Mus musculus: one gene and its partners. The protein of the gene in region 6 purifies or fractionates together with the protein of the main gene of each other region. This does not show direct contact. Links are inferred from orthologs where the notes say so. Each region holds a gene or a part of one and is shown on either strand. Other genes may lie near its edges. The genes, in order: Daxx, Hdac2, Ezh2, Parp1, Hdac1, Dnmt1 and Snai1.

Region 1 (4,042 bases), on a different chromosome or scaffold from region 6:
CCAACCTTCAGACCCCCCCAAAGCCTCCTCGGAATCTGGTGAGGTATGGAAGGGTTAACTCAGATCTTGTCTGCGCCCTGCACTGCCACTAGGCACTCCAGGGTGACTCCTGGAGCAGCGTATGGAAGTGGGGAAAGAATATTGGTGATGTGCTTGCCTTGCAGTCTCGCAGTCATGAGCTCCCAGAGTTGAGTCCTCCTCCTACCAATCAAAAAGCTGTGGGGCACGGGATTCCTTAAGAGAGACTGCTCTTTCCCTCAGGGTCCTAGCGGAATGGCATCCCAGGAGTGCCCTACTACCTCCAAAGCTGAGACTGATGATGACGATGATGACGATGATGATGACGACGACGAAGATAACGAGGAAAGTGAGGAGGAGGAGGAGGAGGAAGAGGAGGAGAAAGAGGCTACTGAAGATGAAGATGAGGATCTAGAACAGTTGCAGGAAGATCAGGGGGGTGATGAAGAAGAGGAAGGAGGAGGTATATGCGTAAACGGAGCTCCTCTGTGGGGAGCATCCTTGTGGTGTTAGTTCTGCTCTGTCGGACATGAGCTCCTTGTTGAGCCTTTCCCTCCCTTCCTCCCTCCCTCCCTCCCTCCCTCCCTCCCTCCCTCCCTCCCTCCCTTCCTTCCTTCCTTCCTTCCTTCCTTCCTTCCTTCCTCCTCCTCCTCTTCCTCCTCCTATGCCCTTTTTTTTTTTTTTAAAGATTTATTGATTATTATATGTAAGTATACTGTAGCTGTCTTCAGACACACCAGAAGAGGGCGTCAGATCTCGTTACGGATGGTTGTGAGCCACCATGTGGTTGCTGGGACTTGAACACTGGACCTTTGGAAGAGCAGTCCGGTGCTCTTACCCACTGAGCCATCTCTCCAGCCCTCTCCTATGTCCTTTGCACAGCCCCTCTATCCCTGTTCCTCATCCACCCCTCCCCTTTCTTTTCCAGATAATGAAGGAAATGAGAGTCCCACATCGCCTTCAGACTTTTTCCATAGAAGGAATTCAGAGCCTGCAGAAGGGCTCAGGACCCCCGAGGGGCAGCAAAAGAGAGGACTGACAGAGACCCCAGCATCCCCGCCAGGGGCATCCCTGGACCCTCCCAGCACTGACGCTGAGAGCAGTGGAGAGCAGCTCCTCGAGCCGCTCCTGGGAGACGAGAGTCCTGTGTCCCAGCTCGCTGAGCTAGAGATGGAAGCTTTGCCTGAGGAAAGGGACATTTCCTCCTCCAGGAAAAAGTCGGAAGATTCCCTCCCCACCATCTTGGAAAATGGGGCAGCTGTGGTTACCTCTACATCTGTCAATGGGCGTGTCTCTTCTCACACTTGGAGAGATGCCAGTCCCCCCAGCAAGAGATTTCGGAAGGAAAAGAAGCAACTGGGCTCTGGACTGTTAGGAAACAGGTAATAGTGGGTGAGGAGGAAGGCAGGCAAGGAGGCAGGACTCTCTGAAGGGAGCCTGATGTCCTAGGTCTCCCTGCAGCCTCAGGCCCTTTCTGTCATTTTTCTTCTGTCCTTAGCTATATAAAAGAACCGATGGCACAGCAGGACAGTGGGCAGAACACAAGTGTCCAGCCTATGCCATCCCCCCCCTTGGCCTCTGTGGCTTCTGTCGCTGATTCCTCCACAAGGGTGGACTCTCCCAGCCATGAACTGGTGACCAGCTCTCTGTGCAGCCCTTCTCCATCCCTGCTTCTCCAGACACCCCAGGCTCAGTCTCTCCGGCAGTGTATTTATAAGGTGAGTGGGCAGTGTCCCCTGGCACTGCATTCTCACCCTTTCCCTTTCTGTGGGTATTGCACCTCCTGCTCCTCTGTTTTCCCCATCTTCCTGCCCGCCCGCAAGTGCGTGCACGTGCATGCATGCTTGTGTAGTGACAGTTTTGGAATTTTGGCGTCTTTATAACAACTCAGAGCTGAGTGGTAGCGACACATGCCTTTGATCCTGGGAGGCAGAGGCAGGAGCATCTCTCTTGAGTCTGAGGCCAGCCTGGTTTACAAAGTGTGTCCCAGGACAGCCAGGGCCACACAGAGAAACTGTCTAAAACCCAAAAACCAACTAACTGACAAACAAAAAACCAGTGAAATAGGTTTTCATTTTAATCCCGGTGTGGAGTGTGGGGCTGCTTCCAACTGACTGTGACTGTGAGCTCTAGAGGTGTGGCTTTACCAGCTACAGATAGTTGCTTTGGTTGTGTGAAGTGATGTTTGGAATTCTGGGAACTTTTCAGGAGAGCATATAAATGGCAGAGCCTCCCCACCTTCCAGGAAGCATGGTTGGTGGTAGTACAGGGGTTGGTTGTGGTTTGTTAGTAGTCTTGCTCAAAGAACAAACAGGAAGAGAGACATTAGAATCAGAGATCCTGTCTCTCCTGTCTATCCTTTCTTTTCTATCTAGTGATGGGGGCGGATAAAGGGGAGGAAAAAGAACACACAAAGTCTCAAAGACTGGCTGTGTGTGTGTGTGTGTGTGTGTGTGTGTGTGTGTGTGTGTTTAGGTTTAACCCCATCAACCAGGAGGCAGAGGCATACAGGTCTCTCTAACTTCAAGGCCACAGTCTAGTCTACCCAGTGACAGTCAAGGTTACATAGTGAGACCATGTAAAACAAAACAAAAAAGACTTATTTTATGTAAATAGGTGTTTTGTTGGCATGCATACCTATGTGCTACATTTGTGTCTGGTGCTCATGGAGGCCAGAAGAGGGCGTCTGATCCTATAGATCTGGAGTCACGGAGAAGGCAGAGAGCCGCCATGTGAGACTGGATACAACACTCGGGTCTTCTGCAAAGCAGCTGCGTGCTTAGTGGCTGAGCCATCTTCCAGCCTTCCATCCTGCTTTGTTTTGTTTCTGAGACAAGGTCTTTCTATGTAGCCCTGACTGTCCCAGAACTCTGTATGTAGTAGATCAGGCTGGCCCCAAACTCGGATATCAGCCCGCCTCTGCCTCTTGAGTGTTCGGACTAAAGGCGTGAGCCGCCATGCCTGGCTCACCCTTCTTTCTCCTCTGACTTGTCTGCAGACCAGTGTGGCCACACAGTGCGACCCGGAGGAGATCATCGTGCTTTCAGACTCTGATTAGCAGGCCCCATGCTCCCCGTGCTCCCTGCATCCAGAAGGTTTTTTGTATGGCTGTTGGAAGATGATGGAGTAAAAGATGGACAGAGCTCCTCCCGTTTTGATGGTGTTTCTTTTGACAAAAAAAAAAAATCAAAATGTTTTAAGTTTTACACAGACACATTAATAAACAATGAATTTCTTTTTATTGTATTCTTTCCTTTACTTTGCCTTTTCTCTTGTGACAGCTGTCACCTGGATCTGCCTTTTCTATCCTGGCTCTCTTTTTAGGGCGTCCTCATCCTTAACCCTTCCTTGAGCCTTCTTCCCCTAGGCACTTTTAAAGATAAGTGCTTCGGAAGCCTTCTTAAGCAGCTTTCCTCTCTCGTTTTGAGCGGTCTGAGTGAAAAGGCCAATCAGGGGCTGACTCAAGGTGATTTGGCCAATCCAGGCCTGGAGGAGGGGGGCGGGGCTTGGGGGGTTCTCATATGCTGGGAAAAGGGCTGTTAGATCCCGCGAGCAAGCTAACGTCCAGAGCTCGGGGTGGAGCCTGGGAAGCGGAAGCCAGCACTGGTCAATGAGACAAGGTAGGCTTGTCGGATTAAAGGGGAACGAAGGTTTCGGCCAAACCAATTCCTGAGTCCTCAGCCGCAGACGGGACCTGGTACCTTTAAGGCGGAATGAAGCGCCGGTTCTTTAAAGGAAAAGTGTCGCTGTCGGTCGACTTTTGCCCAGCGGCACAGGAGGGGTGCTGGCCTGCGCCTTTAAGGTCGCAGGTCCGGGAGGCGGAGTGGAGGCGGAAGGCGGAGGGAGTCGGCACAAGATGGCGGCGGGAGGGGCTGGGGCTGCGGCTCTGGTCGCGGAGTGAGGGGGGGGGCCCGGGGGCGCGCGGCCAGGTAAGCGGGGGCGCGCGGGGCTGGGGGCCCCCCTCAGGCTGGGGAACAGTCCGAGGGCGCGATTGGGGAGGACTGGGGGGCGGGGTTCGGGGGCG
Region 2 (4,241 bases), on a different chromosome or scaffold from region 6:
CTATCTATCTGTCTTACCTATGCAATGATTGTAGAACCTGTGGCTATTATCAAATTTATAAAATCTTTTGTGTATCAGTTCGAGCATCAGACAAACGGATAGCTTGCGATGAAGAGTTTTCAGATTCTGAGGATGAAGGTGAAGGAGGTCGTAGGAATGTTGCTGATCATAAGAAAGGAGCAAAGAAGGCTAGGATTGAAGAAGACAAGAAGGAGACAGAGGACAAGAAGACAGGTCGGTTTATGTTTTGGTGACCATTTCACTTTCCCTACTTAAGGGTTGCACTGTGTCTCTTAGCGATCCTGCAGTCACACGTCTCACTTTAGGCAGGTAACTTTTCCTGGTGTAAGAGATAGTTAGTTACCGCTCATGCTTACTGTTTAGTGCTTCAGAGCTGACTTAAAGGTTTTACAGTTGTGCTCAAATTTTCTTTGTGGTATAGAAACCTTCCTTTTAATAACATAGTAGTAAACGTTACATGTCATGGGATGGGGTTAAGGGGATGACAGTAGTTACAGATGTTGGGCCTCAGAACATTTACTGTAGCTTAGGTGGACTTAGACTCAGTGCTCTTCTGCCTTGTCCTCTTATATACTGGGATTGAAGGCATGCCAGTACACCTGGCTAAAATTCTAAATAATTTATACTGGTTAAAGCTGACTTCATGTAGCAAAAGTTAAGCTACATAGTCCTTTGAAAAGTTACTTTAAGAGTGAAGACTCTTTAGGAACTGAAGAAACTAAAACTGAGGAAAGATAGGAAGGGGCAGTTTCTGGTGTCTTCCGGTATTTCATTCAGAGTGTTTATTTAGCATGCCATTACAGCACCTCGTTAGCACTCTCAGGTTTCTCATTGCTATGCTGAACTGTGCAGGGGTAAGGAGTGGGCAGTAGCCTCTTTAAACATGATAATGCTGCAAGTTTTAGTTGACCTACTAGTCAAGTGAGGCTGCCTGGCTTTACTAGGCCTCACTATATAGACATGGCTGCTCCGGCTACTTACTGGGTGGCCTTGGATTCACACCATTGTCCTTTCTCAGATGCCTGGGTGCTGGGATTACAGAAATGTGCCACCACCTCCAACTCAGTTTCTTTCTATTTTAAAATATCTTCTGCATTTTCTTTTTTTTTTCCAAATAGGAAAGTGATAAAGTAAATTGACTCTTGGTATTTTAGACAAAATACCACAATAATCTATGGGTCATAACCTCAAATAAGACCCACCACCACCCCCTCTTGGCACTGAGTAAAAATTTAGCCAGAATTATCCAAGACACTAAAATGTGAAATCTCCATTGTCGGCATGTAGATTTGTATGGGAGGTGACAGCAGTGCCCTGCAGTGTCTGCATTGCCCAAGCGTGCTGCTGTCCCTGCACCTCTCCATGAGGCCATTGCTTCATAACTAATTTACACAGAGAAAATACTCTGGCTAATCTGGGACATTTACTTTAATTACTGTATTTAAGTTATGAAGTTCAGTTTAGTAGTAATTAAAAATTTAAGGTTAGAACAATGGGATATTGTGGGCCAGCAAGGTAAAGGTGCTTGCTGCCAAGCCTGATTACATATGATCTGCATGTTGGAGGAAGACTCCTGACTTCTACAAGCTGTCTTTTGACCTCCCTATGGAAGTCATGGTGTGGATGCCCAAACATACACACACACTCTGAATAAATAAATGTTAAAAACAAAAAACATAATCTAGCCTCTTGCCTTTAGGATCACGTCCTTCTTACAGTGCAGACACAGTTCTCTTGAGCTCCTTCTGTCTTACCACTGCTTCCGTGCCTCAGTCCTTTTACAGTTTTCCCTGGAAGATACCCTTTCCTCTTACCTGAGAGTTTGTTCATTCTTTGGGACCCACATTCTAGAGAACTGTGTCTGCACTGTAAGAAGGAAGTGATCCTAAAGGCAAGAAGCTAAATTATTTTTTTGTTTTTAACATTTATTATATATACACTATATACATACATATATATATTGTGTGTCTTATATTTCAAAATAGACATCAATATTTTTCTTCTGTCTTTAGATGTTAAGGAAGAAGACAAATCCAAGGACAATAGTGGTGAGAAAACAGACCCCAAAGGGTGAGCGATGCTTGTGTCTGTAGACGTCATGCATGTCTTGGGGGTTGGGCGGGGGCATGCATACTTGAGAAATACTGGCACAGCCTGAGAACATACAATGAGTGCAGGTCTGCGTGTGGGTAACGTGCTTAGGCTATTTGACCGGTAACTTTTATGTATGCAATCGTGTTTTTCATGATGCTCATATTACTGTGCTTAGAATACTTTGATGTTAGGAGACAGGCTAGTTTAAGGAAAAAACATTGGGCTAAGTGAAAGCCTATTGGAGAATTTTGTTATCAGAATGCATGTATGGCTAGGTAGGTGAAGTGTTGCGGTAAATCTCCAACCCAAATATGCCCTGGCAATGAAACACAACTCAATTAATATGAATACATGCTGTGTGCCTAGAATGGGCAGATCTACCGCTACACTACCATCGTCAACAACTGTGAGAGCCCTTAGAACTTGCAGTTTCTCCAGGCCACGTGCTTCTGCTCCACTTTTCTTCTTCCCCCTCCTCTGCATCCTCACCCTCCCCTATTTTCTCCTCTCTCTCCCCACCTTCTTCTCCACCTTCCCTTTATCTGCCCAATCATCAGCTCTCCTTTATTTTACAAATTAGGTGGGAAGCAGGTTTATGGGAAGTAAACCTGAGTGCTGACTCATTGCTTGTTTGTAGGCCCTCACTGGAGAAGGAAGTAGCATCAAATATAATAAGTAAGCCCCAGGGCTATCCACACCTGTGAAGAGGCTTGAGTCTATAATCTCAGTCCACTGGAGAGGCTGAGCCCAGAGGATTGCCATGAATTTAAATCCACACTAAGCTACATAGTGATTTTTAAATCGTCACTCTGGGCTGAAGAATGAGAGTCTGTGTTAGAAGCAAGCACGTGTGCTTGGTCACCCAGTTGTTTGCTAATTTTGAAGGATAACTTAGAATGCTCAGTTGTAAAACAACTGGAAAGATTAAGGCTTTTATTGCTCAGAAAAAAAAGAAAAAACAACAACAACAACAACAGTGAATAGCTTGGTGTGAATCTATAAGACTGTGCAAGTAGCCAGGTCAGTGCTCCTAAACCAAGACTATTACTTTTAATATTTCATGATCCTCTTTCAACAGAGCCAAGTCAGAACAACTCAGCAACCCTTGAATTTGACTCTCCAACTTTAGGAACCTCGAAAAGTGAGACGATTCTGGGATAAGAAACCTTCCCTGTTTGAGGACATTGGCTTCATTTTATACTGTTTTGGCATGGACTGTATTTATTTTCAAAATGGCTTGTTTTTGTTTTTCTTGGCAAGTTTTATTGTGAGTTTTTCTAATTATGAAGCAAATTTTTTTTTCCACCATGCTTTATGTGATTGTATTTAAATTGATGTGTTATTATGTCAAAAGCCGGATCTATTAAAGAAACAATTGGCCTTTCTGAGCTGATTTTTCCATCTTTTGTAATTATCTTTATTAAAAAATTGTACTTGGATCGTTTTCTGTCTGTTTATTATGAAAGCTTGTTTCCAAGTCAATGACTTGATGGTCTTAAGACTGGAACATACCAAAAGGAATGTCAGTGTCAGAGACCATCACTAGATCTACACAGTGCTTACTGGCTCTAACAGCTATTTCTTACTTCAGGAAAAATAACAGTGTCACTTTGTGTCAGGAAGACTGGTATTTCATAAATTATTTCCAAATTCATAATCTGTGCACTTGGGATGAAGCAATTATTTTTGAACTGAATCAAATACTCAGAAATTGGAAATTGTGAATTGAAAAAAGAAACCTGTCCAACCAATAACTGGCCCAACTTAAGACCCATCCCATGAGCCAGCACCAGTCCCTGACACTTAATGATACTCTGTTATACTTGCAGACCGGAGCCTAGTGTGGCTGTCCTCTGAGAGGCTCCACCCAGCAGCTGACTAGGACAGATGCAGATACCCACAGCCAAACAGTGGATGGAGCTTGGGGACTTTTATGGAATAGGAGGAAGGATTTCAGGCCTCCAAGGAGATAGGAACTCTACAGGAAGACCAACTGAGTCAACTAGCCTGGACCTTTGTGGCTCTCAGAGACTGAACCACTAACCAAAGAGCATACACGGGCTGGACCTAGGTCTACCCACATAGATGTAGCAGATGTGCAGCTTGGTATTTGTGTGAGTCCCAGA
Region 3 (3,896 bases), on a different chromosome or scaffold from region 6:
CTATGCTGTCTTAACAGTAAGCTTGCTAAATACAAGACAGCATTATGGACTCTCTACTATTTGGGGTAGACTGCTTTCTAGCAACAACTAACAAGTGTAGAGACAATAGCACAGCTCTCAGGTCAGACCTAGGTCATCAACTTGGGGCTCAGATTCTACTTTTTCCCAATATAGCTATCTTAAGTTTCTTAGCCTTTAACCTCCCTAAACCCATTTCCAATATATAATGGAGCTGATAATAATATATACATTGTAAAGCTGTGGAAGGATAAGCTGGTATATAAGTATATTAGTATACAACTTATATAAGATACATGATATTATTATAAAGATAATTATGATAATTGATCAGCAAAGTGCAAAAAAGGATTATGTCCTTTTCCTAGGCAAAGGAAACAAAGAAGCTCTAGTGGAGAATGAAATGCTGCAGAAAATATATTTGATCATACACTTAACAAAAAGGGGGTAGTTTAATTATACCCATACATGGGTGGCTTTTACATTATTTACATGTATTAATTAGATGGTGTATGTATGCCACCGTGTACTGATGTGAAGATCAGGGGCAACTCAGCAGAGTCAGTTCTTTTCTTCTATAGAGTGGGCTCCAGGGATCAAACTCGATTTATCAAGCTTGGTGGTAAGCACCTTTACCCACCGAGTCATCTTACCAGCCTGATAGGTTTTTTTTAAAAGAATTATATAAAGCTGAAACAAAAAACTAGTATTAAACATACCATCTCGATTATCCTCTAGATCTTTCTGTTTTTCTTCTCTTTCATCTGGATCATCTCCATCATCGTCATCATCATCATCATTATATTGACCAAGAGCATTTACCAACTCCACAAAAATTTCATCATTTATAAATCCACATTCTAAAAGCCAAATGTCAGAAACAGAGGGAAAAAGATAATGACAAGATTATGTATATGTTTTCTAATCTGGAAGAATAGTGAAGGCCTATCAGCACTGTAACCTAAGGGGCAGGTAAGGATAGTCAAGATCAATTTCACAGCCAGCAAAGAAAACAGCATTTACCTTCAACATCTGTTGCTTTCTCAGGAATCAACCCTCTCCAGCTGATCCAGGGTATATTACTCCCTTAATCCATAAGGACCTGTAGTTTTAGCTTCCTCCCAATCTGTGTCACTGACTGACCACTTCAAACCTGTTTTGCATTATGATATGACCACATCTCCGTTTGCTCAGATATCAAGAGAGCCTCCTGTTCAGAAACCTGAATCCAGGATTCTGTTAACTTAATTTCACGGGCTCTGGCTGCCCTGAGGAAGGCATTGTTGAGTAGAAAGCCTTTCTGAAGCACATGCCCCATAAACAGATCTTTAAACTTAGTTTTACTATTGAAAGCTTACCAAAAAACACACACTCTATTCCTATAAAATCTATGTGTTGTTTCTGCTGTAGTTTATAACCAGTTACTGATGATTACCAAGTGGCAAATAAGATCCTCAAATGGAAAAACTAAAGAAATACTAAAAATGTATGCCTTTAAGCCCAGACTAGCTCTTAAGATTTTTTATGAACTCTATTAAGAAACCCTTCTATGACAGTCTGAATGAAAATGATGTTATGGGCCCACAGGGAGTGGCATGATTAGGAAGTGTGGTAGCGTTGGGGTAGGTGTAGCCTTGCTAAAGGAAGTGTGTCAGTGGAGGCAGGCTTTGAGGTCTTAGGTGCTTAAGCCAGACCCAGTGGCTGTTGGGGTTAGCCTTGTGACCTGTGGATTCAGAACCTGAGTTCTATGCCCTGGTCCAGACTACAACCTGATCTTGGGGCATTGCAGTAACACAGGTACTGCAAAGAATACTCCCCAATAATAACTGATTGATCAATAAATGGCTGGGTTTATGACTGGGCATAGAAAAGGTAGGACTTATAACCAAGAAAGATTTCTAGAGAGACCCGGAGGAAGAAGGAAAAGATGAGAGAGAAGCTGGTCCTGAGGACACACATGGTACAGAGCAAGTTGAGTAAAATGCAAACTAAAGTACACGGGGCCTGTCGTTTGTATATAGAAGAGCTCAGAATCTGCCAAATATAGGATTACAGCCTGTAAATAAATATGAACTGTTTCTGTGTCAATTACTTGGGAATTACATGAACAAAAATGAGGCAGAAACCTCCAATAGATATTAAGGATTAAAGGGGGGCACAGCGACACCCCAGAAAATTTTTATTGATTAAGTGTAACTCTCTCTTCCTGCTGTCTGCCATCCAGATATAGAACTCTAGGCTCCTTCTCCAGCACCATACTTGCCTGCGGGCCACCACGCTTACTGCCACGATGATAATGGACTAAACTTTTTTGGGGGGGGTTTTTTTGGTTTTTTTTGTTTTGTTTTGTTTTTGTTTTTTCAAGACAGGGTTTCTCTGTATAGCCCTGGCTGTCCTGGAACTCACTTTGTAGACCAGGCTGGCCTTGAATTCAGAAATCCGCCTGCCTCTGCCTCCTGAGTGCTGGGATTAAAGGCGTGCGCCAACACCGCCCGGCTGGACTAAATAAACATCTCAACAGTTAGCAAGCCCCAATCAAATGCTTTCCTTTTTAAGAGCTGCCACTGTCATGGCAACAAGAAAACCCTCAGACCCTCAACTAAAGAGAATATACACATAGCTCACCTCTGTCACCATGCACTTTTCCATCATAATTTTTTATTAGTTCTTCAATGAAAGTGCCATCCTGATCCAGAACTTCATCCCCCATATAAGGAATGTTATGTAAAACAGTTTCGTCTTCCACCTGAGAGAGAGAGAGAGAGAGAGAGAGAGAGGGCGAGAGAGAGAGGGAGAGAGAGAGAGAGAGAGAGAAAGAAGGAAAAAGAGAAAAAGAAAGGAAGAAAGAAAGAAAAGTTAAAACCAGATGTATTCTAATTTTTAAACTAGACTTTAAGCATTTATTTAAAACTTGAAGGCCCGAGAGATGGCTCAGCAGGTAAAGACCATGCTTGACAACCAGAACTCAATCCCTGGGACCCATGTGGTAGGCAGAGAACTAACTCCCCACATGCTGTCCTCTGACCCCTATAATTTGTCATGATAAACACAAACACATACATACATACGTGTGTGTGTGTGTGTGTGTGTGTGTGTGTGTGTGTGTGTGTGTGTGTGTGTGTGTGTAGAGTTACATAGGACACATACACATAAAACTTAAAACTTAAGCCCTCGGTGTGAGACTTAAATGTGATACACTTGCCCAGCATTCTAAACACTGAGTTTAATTCCTGGTACCACACAAAAAAAGTTAATGAGATAACTAAAACCAGTATTTTCCATGAGTACTTGTCTTTATCCAGATCTGTAGAGAAAACTGTAACTACACTTAATCTAAGAAAGGAAACTGCTGCAGGTTACATGAGACCTCAAGTGTAAGACATTCCGATTGCAGATACTAAAATGGAAGGTACCTGTAATAGAACCGATGATATGTGGCTTATCCAAATAAACTACAAATACTCATCAACAAAGAGTTTGTAAAAAACTTTATTTGGTGATCTAACAATTAAAATATTTGATACAATAAGAATCTAGTGATACTCTGGAGATCTGAATGAGAAACACCCTCTATAGGCTTATGTATTTGAACAGTTGGTTCCTAGTTGGTAGCACCGTTTAGAAGGTTTAGCAAGTACAACCTTGCTTGGGGAAGTATGTCACTGGATAACATTTGAAGATTCCATGGCTCACTCAAGTCAGCATCCCCAACTCCCCACTCTGTTTAGTGATTCAGTTACAATGGGATTCTTAGCTTCATGCTCCTCCAGCCACCACGCCTCTGGCTGCCATGGTAATTCTTATCCCCCTGGAACCATAAGCCCAAATAAACTCTTCCTTCTATAAGTTGCCTTGGTCTTGGTGATTTATCACAACAA
Region 4 (3,896 bases), on a different chromosome or scaffold from region 6:
CACCCTTCCGTTCGGCCGCAGAGCAGGACCAAGGGCATCGCGCTGAATGAAGCAGCAGAGAAGAAAGCGCATAGATTTCCTTTTCTCCCTGAAACAAAACCCAGGCAACTCTAACCCACGAAGTTAGAAGTCAGAACAGAAGCCAGGGGTTGAAGGCGCACACCTGCAATTTCAGCACTCAGGAGGAATGCTGGCTCTGCAGTCTGTATTTATTTGTTTGGGGATGTGGTCTCCCTATATATCACTGGCTGTCCTTGAACTCACAGAGATCTGCCTGCCGAAGGTCTGTTTTTTGTTTGTTTTTAAGAAGGAAGGAAGGAGCTGGGCATGGTGGTGCACGCCTTTAATCCCAGCACTTTGGAGGCAGAGGCAGGCGGATTTCTGAGTTCGAGGCCAGCCTGGTCTACAAAGTGAGTTCCAGGACAGCCAGGGCTACACAGAGAAACCTTGTCTCGAAAAACCAAAAAACCAAACAAGAAGGAGGAAGGAATTGGCAGAGGTTTCCTCCTGGGTACCATCCGTGTACAGGACCTGGAAGTCATCAGTGGTAGGTACATCACCTACCCATCCACCCCCCCACCCACCCACCCACCCACCCATCCGTCTGTCTGTCCGTCCGTCCATCCATCCATCCATCCGTCCGTCCACCCACCCACCCATCCATCCATCCATCCACCCACCCATCCATCCATCCATCCATCCAAGCCCACAGAACACACACCATCAGCAAAGGACATCAATGTGAAAGAAAATGAGATTTTGTAACTTGTGATTCATGTGAAAGAGTTGTCTATGAGCCCTCGGTCTGAGGCCGAGAACAAAGCAGGACAAACAGGGCTATCTTGTCTGGGTCAACACCACCTGGCCGGAACCTCCCCTCTGTCTACTGCCCCTCGACGCCAAGTCATACATCAACTGGTTGCTATGTGAACAAGATAAGCCCCCAGCCCACAGGAACAAAGTTCTGATGCCCTTTTGCTGACATGTAATCTTTCTGTTAATGTTAGAATAAGCCAATAGTGTGTCGCTATGCTGAATTCCACACCCCTAAGCCCCTCACCCCATAAAAACCCCTAGCTTTACATCCGTTATCTCCTGTGTGGGATACATGTCGGTCCGGAGCTCTGTAATTAAACGTCCTCATGTATTTACATCAAGATGGTCGTCCGTTCGTGATTCTTGGGTGCATACCGAATCGGGAATTGAGTGGGGGTTTCCCCACTAGGTTCTATCAGACGCACTGGTGGGGGTGGGGTGGCTATGGGAGCGCTTTGCTCTCGTGTTTCTCTCAGTTTTCCTAAAGCACGTGCTATGCAAACCTGGCGATCTGAGTTCAATTCCTGGAGCCCGTGGGAGAGAGCCAACCCAGTAAAGCTGTCTTTAACCTCCACATGCATATTGTACCACACACGTGTGCATGCACTAACATACACACACATACACCCACAACTAATAAAATAAAAAATTAAAACCTATTAAAAAAAAAAATCCATGCAAGCTTAAAGTCTTCCTTTCCATCATCTGGAAGATAAGACACCAAACCTCACACAAGAGTCAACACGGCCCGAGGAGGAGCCACAGAAGCAACTCAGCAGATAGAGAGAGAGCGCTTGAACCCCTGGCCACACACCTGCCACGCCTCCAGCCTCGGCCGTCTTCTTGACCTTCTGCTGATCATCCCAGCGCAGCTCAGAGAAGCCATCCACCTCAACATCAGGCTGCCGGATGGAGTGGCCCACCTTCCAGAAGCAGGAGAAGTGGTACCAGTGTGGGACTTTCCCATCGAACATGGGTGACTAAGGAACATAAAGCAGAGGTGAGGGGTCGTTAGTCTCCATGCAGGCCACAATCCTGCCCCCAGCCCAGGCAGCAACAGAGGCTGCCTGATGCTCTCTCAGGTCACATGGTGACTGGCAAATGGATGAGAAACAGCTTCTGGCTTCTCATCCTGGGTATTTTCCTAAAAGCTAAAACTTATGGCTGGCCACCCCCAAATCCATCTCAGGATGACAGGGTAACCCCGGTTCCTTGTGTGTGCCACATTCTGACTTTACTGCACAGCCTGGTGTGACACACAGAATTCCTAAAGTGTCCCGTAGACCTGTTAGAAGAGCCAGGAAGCAGCACTTGAACTCAAGGGTCTGGATGGCCCAGAAATGGCTCTTAAGTACCTCTGTGGTTAAAAATAATAAGGAACGGGACCTAGATAATGAACCAGGCAGAGAAAATGTGTCAGCAGAGTGTCAGACACAGCAAGGCATACATGCACAGGTGCATAGAAGGAACGGCTTCTGCAAGGGGAACAAGGAGCCTGAGGCAGAGGCTTCCAGGCCTGGAGATAGGCTGAATACTGGCCTCAGGGAGGCACCTGATCCCCCAATGTGCCTGAGGTAAAGGCACTGGGCCACTTTTTTCGCCTATGAGGCTCTACACCCAGGGTTGCCTGTTTTAGAGATGGTGACAGCCTGAGATGAGGGAGACAACGACATTAACCCAGTTTCCTCTGGGAACACCGCAGCAACAGCAGCAGCAGCTCACAGATGGTGGCAACAATGGAGACACAGTGAGGCGAATGGGACAAGAATCTGATACTGAGTTCTCCCCCACCCCAACTTCAGAAGAGCTACTTGACACGAACTGCCTTCTGACCCACTGAGGTGAGTGCTCATTAGGGCTGCTTCAAAGGGCAGAGAGGGAAAACACATAAGCAGTATTGAAGAGATCCCCTGAAGCTTCAGGTTAGAGTCAGCCTCCTTTTAGTTACATTACAGTGCAAGGCAGAGTTGGCTAAGGAGACAGTTCAGTGGCTAAGTTGTTCCACTACAGGACCTGGGTTCTATTCCTAGCACCCAGAAGGTCGTTCACAACCATCTGTAACCCCAGTTTCAGAGGATCTGACATCTTCTGACCTCTCTTGGCACCAGGTAGGAGATGCACAGACAAACATGCAGGCAAGACACTCATTCAAAAACTTTAAAAAGCAAGGCAAGATCTGCCTAGGTGACCCAATAGGAATTATGTGCTCGGGCAGGCTCCTGAAAGGAAGACGCCCTGCTAGCCTCCTCAGGTGCCTCAAGGCCCCGCCCACTGCTGCCCTCAGGGCAGTTTTACTGAGACAGAATCTGTCCCCAGTCAGGCAGAGGAGGAAGGTGGGGGACCGGCAGCAAAGATGGCCCCTAGACCAGATAATAAATGGTGTTTTTGAGCGGACTCAGCTTCTGGCTCGAGACACTCCATCGGATCAGCAGCTTCAGATCCCCGACCCCTGTGGCAAATGGCTTATGCCGCCTGCCTCAGCCTATAGCTATGGCTCTACAAGAACAAACACCTACCACCCCCAGACTGGGTGCCCTAAACTGGGGACACCAAGAAGTACTCCCTAATGGTGCACTTGATACAAAACCAGCTCAGCTGGTAAGAGCACTGACTGCTCTTCCAAAGGTCCTGAGTTCAAATCCCAGCAACCACATGGTGGCTCACAACCATGTAATGAGATCTGACGTAATGAGATCTATAATGAGATCTGACGCCCTCTTCTGGAGTGTCTGAAGACAGCTACTGTGTACTTAAGTATAATGATAAATAAATCTTCGGGCCTGAGAGAGCAGGGTTGGCCAGCGCGAGCAGAGGTCCTAAATTCAATTCCCAACAACTAGATGAAGGCTCACAACTATCTGTACAGCTACGCTGTGTAGTCATATACATAAATAAATACATAAAAACAGAGAAGTCATACTCCATAAGAAAAACAAAGCCCTGACCATGCCAAGGCCTGGGGAGGACTGGTGGGAATGGCCGACATCCTAAGTTGTTTGTCTCTATCTAGGAGGCGTGAAATAGGCCAGGTACAGAATCCAGGACTTAGACCCAGCCTCCAACAACCACAAGGTTCACCA
Region 5 (3,896 bases), on a different chromosome or scaffold from region 6:
GTGTCTCTATGTAGTCTTGGCTAGCCTGAGACTTGACATGTAGACCACATTGACCTTGAATTCAGAGACTCCTCTACCTCTGCCTCTCAAGTACTAGGAGCAAAGCCATGTATGTACAACCACACCCAGCTAACAAGTATCTGCCACTGCAGAGCAGCCAGAATACTTAGTGTTCATGAAGTCCTGGGTTCAAATCTCCAGTGCTGTAAGAACTAGACATGGGGCTGGAGAGATGGTTCAGCAGTTAAGAGCACTGACTGCTCTCCTGAGTTCAAATCCCAGCAACCACATGATGGCTCACAAGCATCTGTAATGAGATCTGACGCCCTCTTCTGGAGTGTCTGAAGACAACTACAGTGTAACTACATATAATTAATAAATAAATAAATAAATAAATAAATAAATAAATAAATAAATAAATCAATCTTGGTAATCCAGGCCTTGGAAGGAGGCAGGAGGTCTGAAACTCAAGGCCATCACTCCCCACAGACTGAGCTGGAAGCCAACCTGTGACCATGTGTTTGGGAGGCTGGGGGCAACCAGACTACCTACGTTTGGGGCCAGTTGGGACTACAAATTCAACAAAACCCTGCCTCAACAAACCAAACGGAAAAAAGCTCTCAATCTGTACCGCACTGCCTGCAGAAGAGGCAAACTGAGAATCAAGCCAAATTTAGTCTACACATATATTGGTATTCTTTACACATATGCTAAAAAATAAAAACAGATTTGGGAATTATAGCCAAAAATTAAAACAAAGACAAAACATGGAGCCAACATTTTAAACTTAGGTGGTATTATATAATCCAAAGTTCCAGTTTTTCTTTTAAAATTGGAAGCTCAGACAAAATTAGTTAGAGCTGTATGTGGGAACAAGACACGAGCTTACACTGAGGCTGGAAGCATAGCACTGGAAGACAACGACAGCGCTGTATAAAAAGGTGTGCCTGCGGGCAACCATGGAGCTCAGCTCTTCAGAGGGGAGCCGAGAGGGTCACAAGTGCAAAGGTCACCTTCAGCTATGGCTTCGATGAAGACAATGAGGTACAAGAGCCCCCAAGTCAGAGACAGTCCATACTCTGACTGTGTACTGTGTGCTGGCCTCAACTCAGGGATCTGACTGCCTCTGCCTCCTGAGGGCTGGGACTCAAAGCACCACTACCCAGCATGTTGTTGGGTTTTATTCTAGGCTAAGATTAGCTCGCACTCATTTAAGACTGTAGCCCAGGCCAGCCTTGAATCTCCAGCCATCCACGCCGCAGTACCCACACTGGGCTTCCATGTTGGCTTACAGCGCACTTCCCGAAGACTTTTGCTTTCTCCAAACACCACGTCATCCTCAGTTCGGTCTGTGCCTCTGTCCAACCCTTGACTTGGATACCAGTCCCTTTGTGAATGCTGCACTAAGTTCTAGGCGTTTTCATTCTTTGGAGACAGGGTCTCCTATACCAGGGCTGGCTGTGAATTGCCCAGAGTGGCCTTGAAACCCCAATCCTACCTCTCCCACCAAAGTGCTAGAACCTCAGCCTCATCCTTGACTTTCTAGTCAGTCTGAAGGAACTCCACGGCTCCGTTCTTCACTCCTCACCTCTCTATCATTAGCATTCTTTAATTGTTACACAGACACGGTAAACTTGGTTAGCTTACACGTACTGACACTGAAGTGCTTAAAAATAAAAAAATAGAACCTTCATCTACTCGCCAAATAATAGCCACTGAATGAATGAGCAGCTGAGAAAGGAAACTAAAGAATGCAGGCAGGGAGCCAGGTGTGGTGGCGCACGCCTTTAATCCCAGCACTTGAGAGGCAGAGGCAGGTGGATTTCTGAGTTTGAGGCCAGCCTGGTCTACAAAGTGAGTTCCAGGACAGCCAGGGCTACACAGAGAAACCCTGTCTCGAAAAACCAAACCCTCCCCCCCATCCCCCAAAAAGGAATGCAGGCAGGGAACCCAAGCTGACAAGGCAGGCAGGGGCAGCACTCAGGAACTCACGTAGATCTCCATTTTTCGGTAGAGACCATAGTTGAGCAGCAAATTGTGAGTCATGCGGATTCGGTGAGGCTTCATGGGGTGCCCTTGTCCATAATAGTAGTTTCCAACATCCCCTGAAAGAGAAGACAGTTTGCTTTATTATTTATTTTGGTTTTTCTGTGCACCCATGTGCAGACAGGGTTTCTCTGTGCACCCCTGGCTGTCCTGGAACTCACTCTGTAGACCACACTGTCTTCAAACTCAGAGATCTACCTAACTCTGCCAAGTACTGGGATTAAAGACACCACAGATACCCCCAGGTTCTCCGGTTTGTAAGATTTTATTTTTGGACTGAAGAGATGGCTCAGTGGGTAAGAGCACTGACTGCTCTTCCAGAGGTCTAAAGTTCAATTCCCAGCACCCACATGGTGGCTCCAGTTCCAGGGAGTCTGACCCCCTCAAACACCAATGCACACACAATAAAAATAAATAAATTGGGGCTGGTGAGATGGCTCAGTGGGTAAGAGCACCCGACTGCTCTTCCGAAGGTCAGGAGTTCAAATCCCAGCAACCACATGGTGGCTCACAACCATCCATAACAAGATCTGACTCCCTCTTCTGGAGTGTCTGAGGACAGCTACAGTGTACTTACATATAATAAATAAATAAATATTTAAAAAAAATATTTAAAAAAAAATAAATAAATTAATTAATTAATTAAACAAAAAAAGATTTCCTTTTCAATTACACATAAATGTGTGTGGACATGTACATGCTGGTGCAGGTGTCTCCTGGGAGCTGCCTAATGTGGATGCTGGGAATTGAACCCTGGTCCTCTTGAAGAACACTCAGTGCTCTTAACTACTGAGCCACCTCTCCAGCTCTTAGAGAAGCAGCTTTACTAACACAGTTAAACACTCTCCTGGGAGAACCCAGCAAACTCCCAGAACTCTAACGCTCATTTCTAGTTTCCATGAGTATTCCTCACCTTAAATAAAAGGAAGAGCCCGTGGTTCCTACATAAGCCAGTGTTTAAGGGTGAATCTAGAACACCTATATATGGGATAAAATTGACTGGGAATGAATAGGCAGTGTGGTGACTCAACTCACCGCACCTTTATGGAATTCCTTTTCCACGACAAAATCACTCACTACTACCTGGGACTATAACCACAGCCTACAGATAAAACCAAACTTCCTTGTTGCTTGTTTCAGCTACAGAAATTGCTTCTAACTGGTTCCTGGCCTTCGATTCAAGCTCTCTGCCTGCCACATCATGACCAGCTATTTCTCCTAAAGTGCAGCTCAGAACATCTCCTACTGGCTCCTCTTGCCTCCGGGCTCTGACTTCAATAGGCTGAAGTCAACATTTGTTCAATCTACCTTGTGCTGGCTCGATTTAGGTCAATTTGACACAAACTATGGTCACTGGAGAGGAGAAACCTCAACTTCGAAAATGGCCATGGGCCAGCCTGTAGAATATTTTAATTAGTAATTAATGACAGAGGGTCCAGTCCATTGTGGGTGGGGTCATGCCTGAGGTGGCAGCCCTGAGTTCTGTAAGAAAGCCGACTGAGCAAACCACGAGAAACAAGCCAGCAAGCAGCACCCCTCCATGGCCTCTGCATCAGCTCCTGCTTCCAGGTTTTTGCTGTTTGAGTTCTTGTTCTGACGTCCTTCAGTGATGGACTGCAACATGAAAGTTACAAGCCCCATAAACCCTTTCCTCCCCAACTTACTTTCTGGTCATGAAGTTCTGTAGCAGCAACAGAAACCCTGACTGCCTTTCCTGCTTCCTCTGTGGCCGTCCATCAACCACCACCCTGGTTGTGTATTTTCATAAGTAAACTTCTGCTGGGAACAGCCTAGCCATTAGTTCATACAGCACCTGAGTAGTTACATAATTGCTGCAGAGACCAATCTAC
Region 6 (4,331 bases):
AAAAGCTGTCCCCTAACACATACCTTCGTGTATATGTACATATATATGTGTATATATGTATATCACACACACCACTTATACACAGGTTTAACAAAAAATAAGTTAAAAGCAAGCCAAGCATGTAACACGCATCACTCCAGAGGCACGAGCGTGGCAAGATCAAGACCAGATGAACTACACAGAAACCGTGCCTGGAAAACAAGTTTTAATTTAAAAAAACTGAAAGAAATGAAAAACCCATGCCAACCAAGGAATCTCAGCTATGGAAAGGACACCCCCTGCTCAGGAAAAGAAATCCCTCACCTTGCAAGGTGTGAATGTCTGAAATGAGACCTTAGTTGAATTCTAACTTGTGACCCTCCTGCTCCTGCCTCCTGATGTTACAGGCCATGGCCACAACATCTCACTAAAAAGCATGATTTGATTTTTGAATGACACAAGGTTTACTATATTTCAGAGAAACTGTCAGTCTGGGGCTGGTGAGATAAGAGGAATGCTACCAAGCTTGATGGTCTGAGTTCCCATACCCAGAATCTTGTGGAAAGGCCAGTTCCTGCAAGGGGTCCTGACTGCCACACAAGCTGTAGCATAGACCCACATACACACTTAAAGACTTACAATCCAAATGTTGAAGATACTATATTTTATATATCCAGAGGAACTATGCACACTTCTATTTAAACAAACTGCCATTTAAATACAGAATAGCAGCATGGACGGAAGCTACCTCGAGGCCTACTCAGCTCCTGGACTATCCTCCCAAATGCAGGTACCTCTCAAATCTCATACTGTAGATATTTTGCTAGTAAGTTTTTCTAAATCAAGAAAAGCTAAGCTAGGCACAGTGTCACATTCCTGTAATCCCAGCACTTGGGTAGATACAAAAGACCAAGGCTAGCCTGGGTTAGACGGCCAGCCGGAGGCTAGCTTGGCCTACAGGAATCCCTTCCTGGAAATGAAAACAAAGCATACACAGGTAAACCAACCAACCCGAGAACAGGAAAGACAAAAGACAGAAAGGCAGGTTACAGACTGTCTAACTTTAAAAAACCAAATACTTTAATTATGTATGTATTTTTTGGTAGTAAAAAGAAATCTGTTGAGGTGTCTCACAAAGGCTTCAGATTTTTATGCCTATACAATCAAAAAACAAGCATTCAAAAAACGAACCCAAACCATCATGATGGCACATGTCAGTAATCCCAGCACTGAGAAGACACAGGCAGAGAGAGAGAGAGAGAATCCCAGGCCAGTCTCCAATACAAGTGAAAGGGCTGAAGGTGTAGCTCAGTACAGAGCTTCAGGTCCAACCCTGGGGGCGAGCTGGGGGCAGGGGTGTTTGACAAGGGGAATTCAGCCGCTTCTCCCACTTTATCCCCCAAAGCTCAAATGGGAATCGGCCTGGCATCACCCCAGTAAACTAACCCCCGGGATAGCAAAAGCAGACTCAGAATCGGGTTGGGATGTGTCCAGCACTAGCAGGGCACCTATGACTAATGCTCAATGACGCGCGGGACAAGCTTTCAGGAATGAACGGATTGACGATGCCCTTCTGGAACAGGAAGCGGGATCCAGTGTTCCCGCCAATCCTTGCACACAGCCGTCCTCATGGAGGCGTGGAAGGTACTAGTGGAGGGCCCATTACCCAGGTCTTCCTTGATTGCTTGGGGAGGGGGGGGGGAGAGGGGGGATTCATATGCACTGAAATGGGGGACTTTACCTGCCATCCCTCACTCCTCGAAATAAACACTGGACAATGTAAAAAGCTTCCTCGATGGCGCCAGGACCGAAAGAACTGGTTTACAGGGGCTAAAATAATAGGGCGGGGGCCGAGACATCTCACTACCATTCATCTTTCCTTCCCCCTGATAAACACTTTGAATGGAGTTAAAGGTTTCCTCGATTGCTCTGGGATCTCGGGACAGAGTTATGTCACTGCCAAAGTGGAGGGCCCATTCTGCAGCACCAGCTCTTTCCAGGCAGAGTCTCTTTGATAGCTCCAGGATCGCAGGAGCTCCTTTACGTTAGGATGAAAACAAAACAAAATCCCACGAGGGCTTCAAGCTGCCCAGGCCCGGCCCGGCAGGATGAGAGAGAAAAGGTCCTAGGACTTGACAGCGGGGCTGGGAAGGAGGGCCCTTCTGAACCAGGGCCAGGGGAACCGGCGGAGGGACCCTCGGGTGGGCGCGGCGGGATCTGCAGGGCACCGGAAGTGGAGGCTGGAGCGGAGTGGGGGCTTCAGGGTGTCCACAGGCCGGGAGAGGGGCACTTCCTGCACACCCAGGAGCCTGGCTGACCAAAGAGGGGAACCCCTGAGGGTGTCCCCAAGCTTGTTCTATTTCAGAGGGCTGATCCCCTTGCTCCCTCAAGCTCCCAGTCAATGGGCTTGCCAGCACCCCGGCCCCCACCCATTTTGGCGCCAACAGCTAAGGGCACGCGCGACAGGAAGCACAGCCCGCGCCAAACGCTGCCCCGCGCATGCGCGCCCTGGCTGTCAGCGGCCGCAGGGCCACCCGGAGATACCCCCAATATATGCCTCGGCATCGGTCCCGCCCCTCACCCCCACCCTGCGTGGCACCTACCGCCTGCGGACATGGTCCGGGAGCGAGCCTGCCGGGGAGGCAAGCGCAGGCACTCGGGCTGGAGCTGTTCGCGCTGGCATCTTGCAGGTTGCAGACGACAGAACAGCTCTGAACGAGACCCCGGCTTTTTCGCGCGCGCGGAAACCAATTGGGAGGGGGCGGCGCAAGCGGAAGCAGCATGTACCACACAGGGCAAGAGAGTGGGGGAAGACCATGCTATGCCCGAAGGGAGTGCGCATGCGCGCAACGGAGGCACCCACACCTCCTGGCTATAGTGGGCTCGTCCGTGCTGCGACTGGCGCCACCCACCTCCCCCTTGCCTGAAGAGGTGGCTCGGCACTTGAGAGCAGGTAGTGCTGCTCTTGCAGAGGATGACTCTGGTTTGCTTGCCAGCACCCGCATCCAGCCGCTCCAAGCCCCTGTAATTCCACTTCCAGGGGGTCCTACAGCCTCTTCTGGCCTCTATGGGCATTGCACTCACATGCACAAACACAACTTTAAAAAAAAAAAAATCTTTTGAGTCTGGCAGAGGCTGTGGCATGCATGCATTTGATTCCAGCACTCAGAATGCAAAAGCCAGAGGATCTCTGTGTATTGAGCCTGGTCTAAAAACAAAATCTTCTTGAAAAAGGAAAAAGGTAGGCGGTGGTGGCGCATGCCTGCAGTCCCTTACACTAAGGAGGCAGAGGCAGGCAGATCTCAGTTTGAGGTCAGCCAAGTCTATACAGTGGAGTTCTAGGACAGCCAGAGCCACACAGAGAAAGCCAGTCTCAAAACAAAACAAACAAAAGTGGGCTTGTCTGCGCAGTGGCTAGCTTCCTCCCTGGAGAGCACCCACCCACATCCAGCCACTCGAAGCCCTGTAACTCCACTTCCAGGGGAAGGCCGCTGTGGACACTGCTCTTAAATGCACCAACAATTTTTTAACCCAAGATAGGCTTGACTTTACTATCTATACAATAGATAATATGGTTGATCTTAAAGTTCAGACCTCCTGCCTCTCTCTGGTCTTGAGTGATGGATTTATGGGTATGCCCCACTGTAACTACCATCTTCACTGGAAGATGAAATGTGTGGTTCTGTAGTGTCTAACTATATGTCCATGATCCATATTTCTGGAACTTACATCTTCAGAAGGAGAAACTATAGGCATAACTCTATCCCCCTCCCCTTCTGCTCATCTTTTGTTACCATTTTGGTAAGAAATACATGAACCCTTAAACAAAAGGCCTCCCGTCTAACCCCATCTTCACCCCCTTGTCCTCTAAAACGACCATGAGCACACCATCTGGACTCTTCCTCAGTGGCTTCATCTATCAGAGCTGAAATCACCTCCTTAAAAAGATAATTCAGAAGTGAACTGGACCAATATACCAATGAAGTAGTATAGTGGTAAGGCCAGGAACCACTTCTGCCATCTGGGTTTAATAAAAAAAAAAAAAGCAGATCGCAGAGAAATGATATTTTCTATTTACCTTCCACATGGTATGGAAGGATTTAGAATATACAGTTCAACAGCAGAATATTAACCTCACAGCAGAAGCCTTGGGAGTCATCCCTAGCACCAGATGAATAAAAGAATGACCGAGGACCAGAAAGACAGCTGAGAGAACTGAGCCAGAAGTAGTCTCCCTCTGACCATGTGTGTAAGTTGACATCACATACCCACGCACATGTACACAAATGTGAAATTGTTAAAGAACTTTTCCCAACAAACCTAACTTTAAAAATCCTGAGGCACTGGGGATG
Region 7 (4,689 bases), on a different chromosome or scaffold from region 6:
ACCCTAGGTGGCAGTCGGCCTAGGAAGGGAGCTTCCTGGGCGTGGAGAGTCACCTGTCACCCGTTAGGGGCTAAGTCACACCTTTCCTAAGCGGCATGCCAGCCAGCATCCATCATTTGACCAAGTTTTACTTTCAGGCCTCTGGCAGGTGTGAGGTTGTGAACAGGCCTCCCCTTGTGGGCTTCATTTGCCTTTCTCTTTCCTTCTTACTAAGCAGGCTTGGGGGAGGCTGAGGGGGTGGAGTGGGGGGCTGCTGAAACAAAGGATGAAAGGGATGAAAGGAAGCCTAGCCAGGTGTGGATCTGGAAGAGAAAACAGGACTGGAGGAAGGCAGGTACCAAGCAAGGCCCCGTGGTAGGAAAGCCTGTTCTCTGATCATAGGGGATGGAGAAAAGTCAAAACCTAGTCAGCTGACTTGTCCGTTGGGACGAGGGTGGTGGTGGGGCGCTGTGTGCTCTCCCTCTGGACTCAGGGAGACTCATGGATGAACTAAATCTACCCAGAGGGCAGTGTTCTCCACGATGGTTGCCTGTTGTCTGACCATCCTCCCACTCCCCCACCCCCCACCCCCAGTGCTGGGAGTCTGATTCTATTCCCTGTTGTTACCTCCAGTGCCTAGAGACTCGATGCTAGCTGGTGCCCCAGAGGTTTCCGTAGACCCTCTGCTTTATAGGTGTTTATAACCCCATACTATGGGGGTGTGGGTTTGGTTTCCGAGGCCACCCTTCCTCCCTGTGAACGTTCCAACACGATTTTCAGGAAGTCGGGAGCCTTAGCCCTGGTCCTTGCTACCTCTGCCTCGCACCTGCCCTTATTGGTGTTTCACAATGCAACTCTAAACACGTCCGTCCTCAGCTGAAAGTCCTTCCGTGACTCCCCAGTGCCTGTAAGGCAAAGTCCAAACTCCTCCAAAGACCCGAGGCCAGGAAATCGGACCCCTCAGGGTCTGCCCAACACCAACCTCATCCTGGAACCTGCTCTCAAAGGTTGGACAGGCAGAAGTTACTGATTCTTACCCCGGGCCTTTCCCCTCGGTGCTTCTTCACTTCCTCTAGGAAGTCATAGACACCCTCCCCTGTCAGGTGACCGTTCATTGACAGTCACAGCTGTCTCTCCCCACCTCCTTTCATCAAATCACACCTCCCTTTAGTATTCGAATCCTCTGTTTATTCTGTCTGTCTCTCTCTCCCACGGCCGGGAAGCCATCCTTGCGTAGGGCATCCCTGGGTAGTGTTTTGTTCAGGGCTGTGTAGACAGTTCCAGGAACCCCTAAGCGCGTGCATATCATCGCACTTTCTGGCTCCCCAGCGCCCAAAGGTCAGCAGCTCGGGGATGTTGCGGGGCACCGCGCTCGTCGTGGGGCAGGCGCGGCCACCAGGGGTCGCCCGAGGAGCTCGGAAGCCGCGCGGTCCGGTCCGGGAGGAGCCCAAGCGGAATCTCAGCGCCACGCGGCGGGAGCCCCAGCAGCCCAGGCGCACCTGCTCCGGTCTCAGTCTCCGGCCGCGCCGCCGCCAGCCATTGGCTCAGCCTTGACAAAGGGGCGTGACCAACAGTACGGTCACGCCCCCAGCCCTGGTACTTAAAGGAATTTGCTGCTGCTAGGGGATCGTAGTGTGCGGCCGGGCCTCGCGAGCGGAGTTGACTACCGACCTTGCGCGACCCGGTGACCCCGACTACCTAGGTCGCTCTGGCCAACATGCCGCGCTCCTTCCTGGTCAGGAAGCCGTCCGACCCCCGCCGGAAGCCCAACTATAGCGAGCTGCAGGACGCGTGTGTGGGTGCGTGGTGGGGTGCGGGACGCGGGCGGCTGGGGGGGATCCCAAGGGTGCTGGGGGGAGGTGAGAATCGGGCTCTGCGGGCGCGACAGGTGGATCTGGAGCTCCGGGTCTTGGCAGTTGGGATCCACCGAGGGTGTCTTTGACCCGGGACGGGGAGGCTCCGGGAGTTGAAGACTCGAAGGCGGGGGTAGCTTTGCGGAGTCCGGGCGGGGGAGGGGAGGGGCGGGCGGGAAGCCCCCCCACCTGGCGCCCCGAGAATCCGCTCAGCTGACTCCCTGCTGTCTCTTCTCTTCCCGCAGAGTTCACCTTCCAGCAGCCCTACGACCAGGCCCACCTGCTGGCCGCCATCCCTCCGCCCGAGGTCCTCAACCCCGCCGCTTCGCTGCCCACCCTCATCTGGGACTCTCTCCTGGTACCCCAAGTGCGGCCGGTTGCCTGGGCCACCCTCCCGCTGCGGGAGAGCCCCAAGGCCGTAGAGCTGACCTCGCTGTCCGATGAGGACAGTGGCAAAAGCTCCCAGCCGCCCAGCCCGCCCTCGCCGGCGCCGTCGTCCTTCTCGTCCACCTCGGCCTCCTCCCTGGAGGCCGAGGCCTTCATCGCCTTCCCTGGCTTGGGCCAACTTCCCAAGCAGCTGGCCAGGCTCTCGGTGGCCAAGGACCCCCAGTCGCGGAAGATCTTCAACTGCAAATATTGTAACAAGGAGTACCTCAGCCTGGGCGCTCTGAAGATGCACATCCGAAGCCACACGCTGCCTTGTGTCTGCACGACCTGTGGAAAGGCCTTCTCTAGGCCCTGGCTGCTTCAGGGCCACGTCCGCACCCACACTGGTGAGTGAGTGTGCATAGCTGAGCTCTGAGTCTGGGCTGTTTGGCCTTAGACCCTGGGGGGACTCAACACTTACTCCTAAGGCTGCCAAGCAGTGGACAAAGTAGATGTTGGTTGTTCTCCATTCTGTACCTTGCTGTTCGAGGCTAGGAGTGAAGAGGTGTTCCCTATCCGGGCTCAACCCACACTGTAGAAGTCAGACAGGATATTGCTAGACAGGATATTCTGCACCTGGCCTTGAATCCTGAGTCGAGAACTTCCCCAGTTTCCTCGTTTCTAAAATGTATCAGAGAACACTTCGTGGGGTCTTTGTAGAGTGAAGTGCTAGGTGCAGGTGCCACTAAGAAATGACTTCCCAGTGACTATGAAGACGGCTCAGTGGTTAGAGCACTGGCTACTCTTCCAGAGGTCCTGAGTTCAATTCCCAGCACACATGGTAGTTCACAACTTAACTAACTGCCTGTTAAGAGTCCAGTTCCAGAGGACCTGACACCCTCATACAGACATACATGCAGGCAACATACCAATCCATGTAGGACAAGAATAGAATAGACACATCTTTTTTTTTTTTTTTTTTTTTTTTTTTTAAGAAGAGAAACAAAGACATGACTTTGCTGTCCTCTCAGCCTTGGGCCACGTGGGAAGCTTCTAGAAGTGAGGGAAGGCTTCAGCCAGGCTTGGTGGGGGTTCCGGTTGGGCTGCTCTTTGGAAAGTGTGTCAGGCTTTGGGGTAGAGCTGTGCGTCTCTTGTGGTGGCCAGCATTGGGGCAGTGAGGCCTGGGGGTGGCAGGGAGGTATTTGCAGGTCTCACTGACACCTTTATTACTTGAATAAGATTACCCGTTTCCCCCCCCCAGGCACGGATTGCCTCAGATTTAACCTATAAAAGTGTAACAGGCTGCCTCTCTCCGGCTGGGTTGCTAAGCTGTGGGGCTCTACTTTGGGGAAGAGCTGAAGCCCTCAGGGTCCTAGGCTGCCTCCGACCACCCCCCACCCCCCAGGGACTTTGTTTTGATGTAAAGGCATGGCTCAGACAAAACCCTCCTTGAAATGCACCACCCAGTTCTCTAGGAGTTCCATTGTGTGTCTTAATGGTAGCCCAGGGGGTGGGGGCCTGCAGGGTTAGAGCAGGTGCACGGGGCAGCGGTGCCCAGCACCTGTTCTTGGCCGCAGCTGCTGGCTCATTGCACGGCAGGCCCCTTTAATCCAGGGGGTATCACATGTACAGTGTCCCCCTTAGTGGCCTTTGTCCCAGCCGGCCTGGTGCCGATTTCACACTTGCCAGGAACACTATGAAGGCGTCTGGGGGTCGGGGATCTGTGAAGAGAGAGAGAGTGTGTGTGTGTGTGGGGGGGGGGGTGTCTACACTTCCTGTGCAAGCCCAGAGACTCCCAGCTCCATCCCACCCTGTGTTATCTTGAAACCTCCCTTTTGTTAAGTACTTCAGTTCGCCTGTCCCTGCTAAACGGACAGGTAGTGGTTAGGCCATTCTAGGGAGGGGGCAACACCCCTTACTTGTAGGGACCCACAGATTGCCAAGGTCCACCACCACCCAGGGCTTTGGAGCCCCACCTGTGTAGCTGAAGACTTGTGTGGGTTTGTGCCCCCTAGGGGGGCTGAAAGCGGCTCTGTTCAGTGAATACCTGCTGAGTGGGTGGATCCCGCAGGATCCCTGCTGAGATTTCCTCTATCCAGAGGCTCAGCACACCCAGGCGCCATTCCTCAGCCCCGAATTCCATCACTAGAATCCAACCAAAGGGCACCGCCTGTGGACTAGCAGGCTGGGAGGGACGGGAGGCTTGCCTTGTTTTGAAAATCCGTTTGGCATTACAGCCTCATGCTTGGCACATAGTAGGGGTGCAGCAGATGTTTGGTTTTGTCGGTATTTGTTAACTCAGCCAGACTGGGTTTAAACCAGAGACCCTCCTCCCTCTGTCTCTACAATGCTGGGTTACAAATATGGACCCCCAGGCTCAGGTCCCCTTTTTTAAAAAGCACATTTATTAATTCAGGTATTCACTGAACAGAGCCGCTTTCAGCCATCCTCGGGGGCACAAACCCACAGAAGTCTTCAGCTACACAGCATG

Evidence for each region.
Region 1: the proteins of Dnmt1 (region 6) and Daxx purify together in Homo sapiens (affinity purification with western blotting; 4 studies listed by BioGRID, with this or other methods). This does not show direct contact. The link is inferred for Mus musculus from reciprocal best matches to the Homo sapiens genes DNMT1 and DAXX.
Region 2: the proteins of Dnmt1 (region 6) and Hdac2 purify together in Homo sapiens (affinity purification with western blotting; 3 studies listed by BioGRID). This does not show direct contact. The link is inferred for Mus musculus from reciprocal best matches to the Homo sapiens genes DNMT1 and HDAC2.
Region 3: the proteins of Dnmt1 (region 6) and Ezh2 purify together in Homo sapiens (affinity purification with western blotting; 6 studies listed by BioGRID and IntAct, with this or other methods). This does not show direct contact. The link is inferred for Mus musculus from reciprocal best matches to the Homo sapiens genes DNMT1 and EZH2.
Region 4: the proteins of Dnmt1 (region 6) and Parp1 purify together in Homo sapiens (affinity purification with western blotting; 4 studies listed by BioGRID and IntAct, with this or other methods). This does not show direct contact. The link is inferred for Mus musculus from reciprocal best matches to the Homo sapiens genes DNMT1 and PARP1.
Region 5: the proteins of Dnmt1 (region 6) and Hdac1 purify together in Homo sapiens (affinity purification with western blotting; 11 studies listed by BioGRID and IntAct, with this or other methods). This does not show direct contact. The link is inferred for Mus musculus from reciprocal best matches to the Homo sapiens genes DNMT1 and HDAC1.
Region 7: the proteins of Dnmt1 (region 6) and Snai1 purify together in Homo sapiens (affinity purification with mass spectrometry; 3 studies listed by BioGRID, with this or other methods). This does not show direct contact. The link is inferred for Mus musculus from reciprocal best matches to the Homo sapiens genes DNMT1 and SNAI1.

The regions. Positions count from the first base shown.
Region 1 is NC_000083.6:33,912,327-33,916,368, forward strand, and holds the end of Daxx (death domain-associated protein 6), read left to right. Parts: coding exon 1-43; intron 44-261; coding exon 262-481; intron 482-946; coding exon 947-1,400; intron 1,401-1,479; exon of another isoform or gene 1,480-1,516; coding exon 1,517-1,736; intron 1,737-3,016; coding exon 3,017-3,076; 3' UTR 3,077-3,264; downstream 3,265-4,042. UniProt on the Homo sapiens protein: Transcription corepressor known to repress transcriptional potential of several sumoylated transcription factors. Down-regulates basal and activated transcription.
Region 2 is NC_000076.6:36,998,336-37,002,576, forward strand, and holds the end of Hdac2 (histone deacetylase 2), read left to right. Parts: intron 1-78; coding exon 79-234; intron 235-2,033; coding exon 2,034-2,091; intron 2,092-3,193; coding exon 3,194-3,224; 3' UTR 3,225-3,553; downstream 3,554-4,241. UniProt on the Homo sapiens protein: Histone deacetylase that catalyzes the deacetylation of lysine residues on the N-terminal part of the core histones (H2A, H2B, H3 and H4).
Region 3 is NC_000072.6:47,553,387-47,557,282, forward strand, and holds part of Ezh2 (histone-lysine N-methyltransferase EZH2), read right to left. Parts: intron 2,765-3,896; coding exon 2,644-2,764; intron 879-2,643; coding exon 738-878; intron 1-737. UniProt on the Homo sapiens protein: Polycomb group (PcG) protein. Catalytic subunit of the PRC2/EED-EZH2 complex, which methylates 'Lys-9' (H3K9me) and 'Lys-27' (H3K27me) of histone H3, leading to transcriptional repression of the affected target gene.
Region 4 is NC_000067.6:180,571,552-180,575,447, reverse strand, and holds part of Parp1 (poly [ADP-ribose] polymerase 1), read right to left. Parts: intron 1,797-3,896; coding exon 1,631-1,796; intron 1-1,630. UniProt on the Homo sapiens protein: Poly-ADP-ribosyltransferase that mediates poly-ADP-ribosylation of proteins and plays a key role in DNA repair.
Region 5 is NC_000070.6:129,532,622-129,536,517, forward strand, and holds part of Hdac1 (histone deacetylase 1), read right to left. Parts: intron 2,106-3,896; coding exon 1,993-2,105; intron 1-1,992. UniProt on the Homo sapiens protein: Histone deacetylase that catalyzes the deacetylation of lysine residues on the N-terminal part of the core histones (H2A, H2B, H3 and H4).
Region 6 is NC_000075.6:20,950,126-20,954,456, forward strand, and holds the start of Dnmt1 (DNA (cytosine-5)-methyltransferase 1), read right to left. Parts: upstream 2,855-4,331; 5' UTR 2,822-2,854; coding exon of another isoform or gene 2,663-2,821; coding exon 2,583-2,662; intron 2,499-2,582; exon of another isoform or gene 1,721-2,498; intron 1-1,720. UniProt on the Homo sapiens protein: Methylates CpG residues. Preferentially methylates hemimethylated DNA. Associates with DNA replication sites in S phase maintaining the methylation pattern in the newly synthesized strand, that is essential for epigenetic inheritance.
Region 7 is NC_000068.7:167,536,594-167,541,282, forward strand, and holds the start of Snai1 (zinc finger protein SNAI1), read left to right. Parts: upstream 1-1,601; 5' UTR 1,602-1,696; coding exon 1,697-1,778; intron 1,779-2,077; coding exon 2,078-2,605; intron 2,606-4,689. UniProt on the Homo sapiens protein: Involved in induction of the epithelial to mesenchymal transition (EMT), formation and maintenance of embryonic mesoderm, growth arrest, survival and cell migration.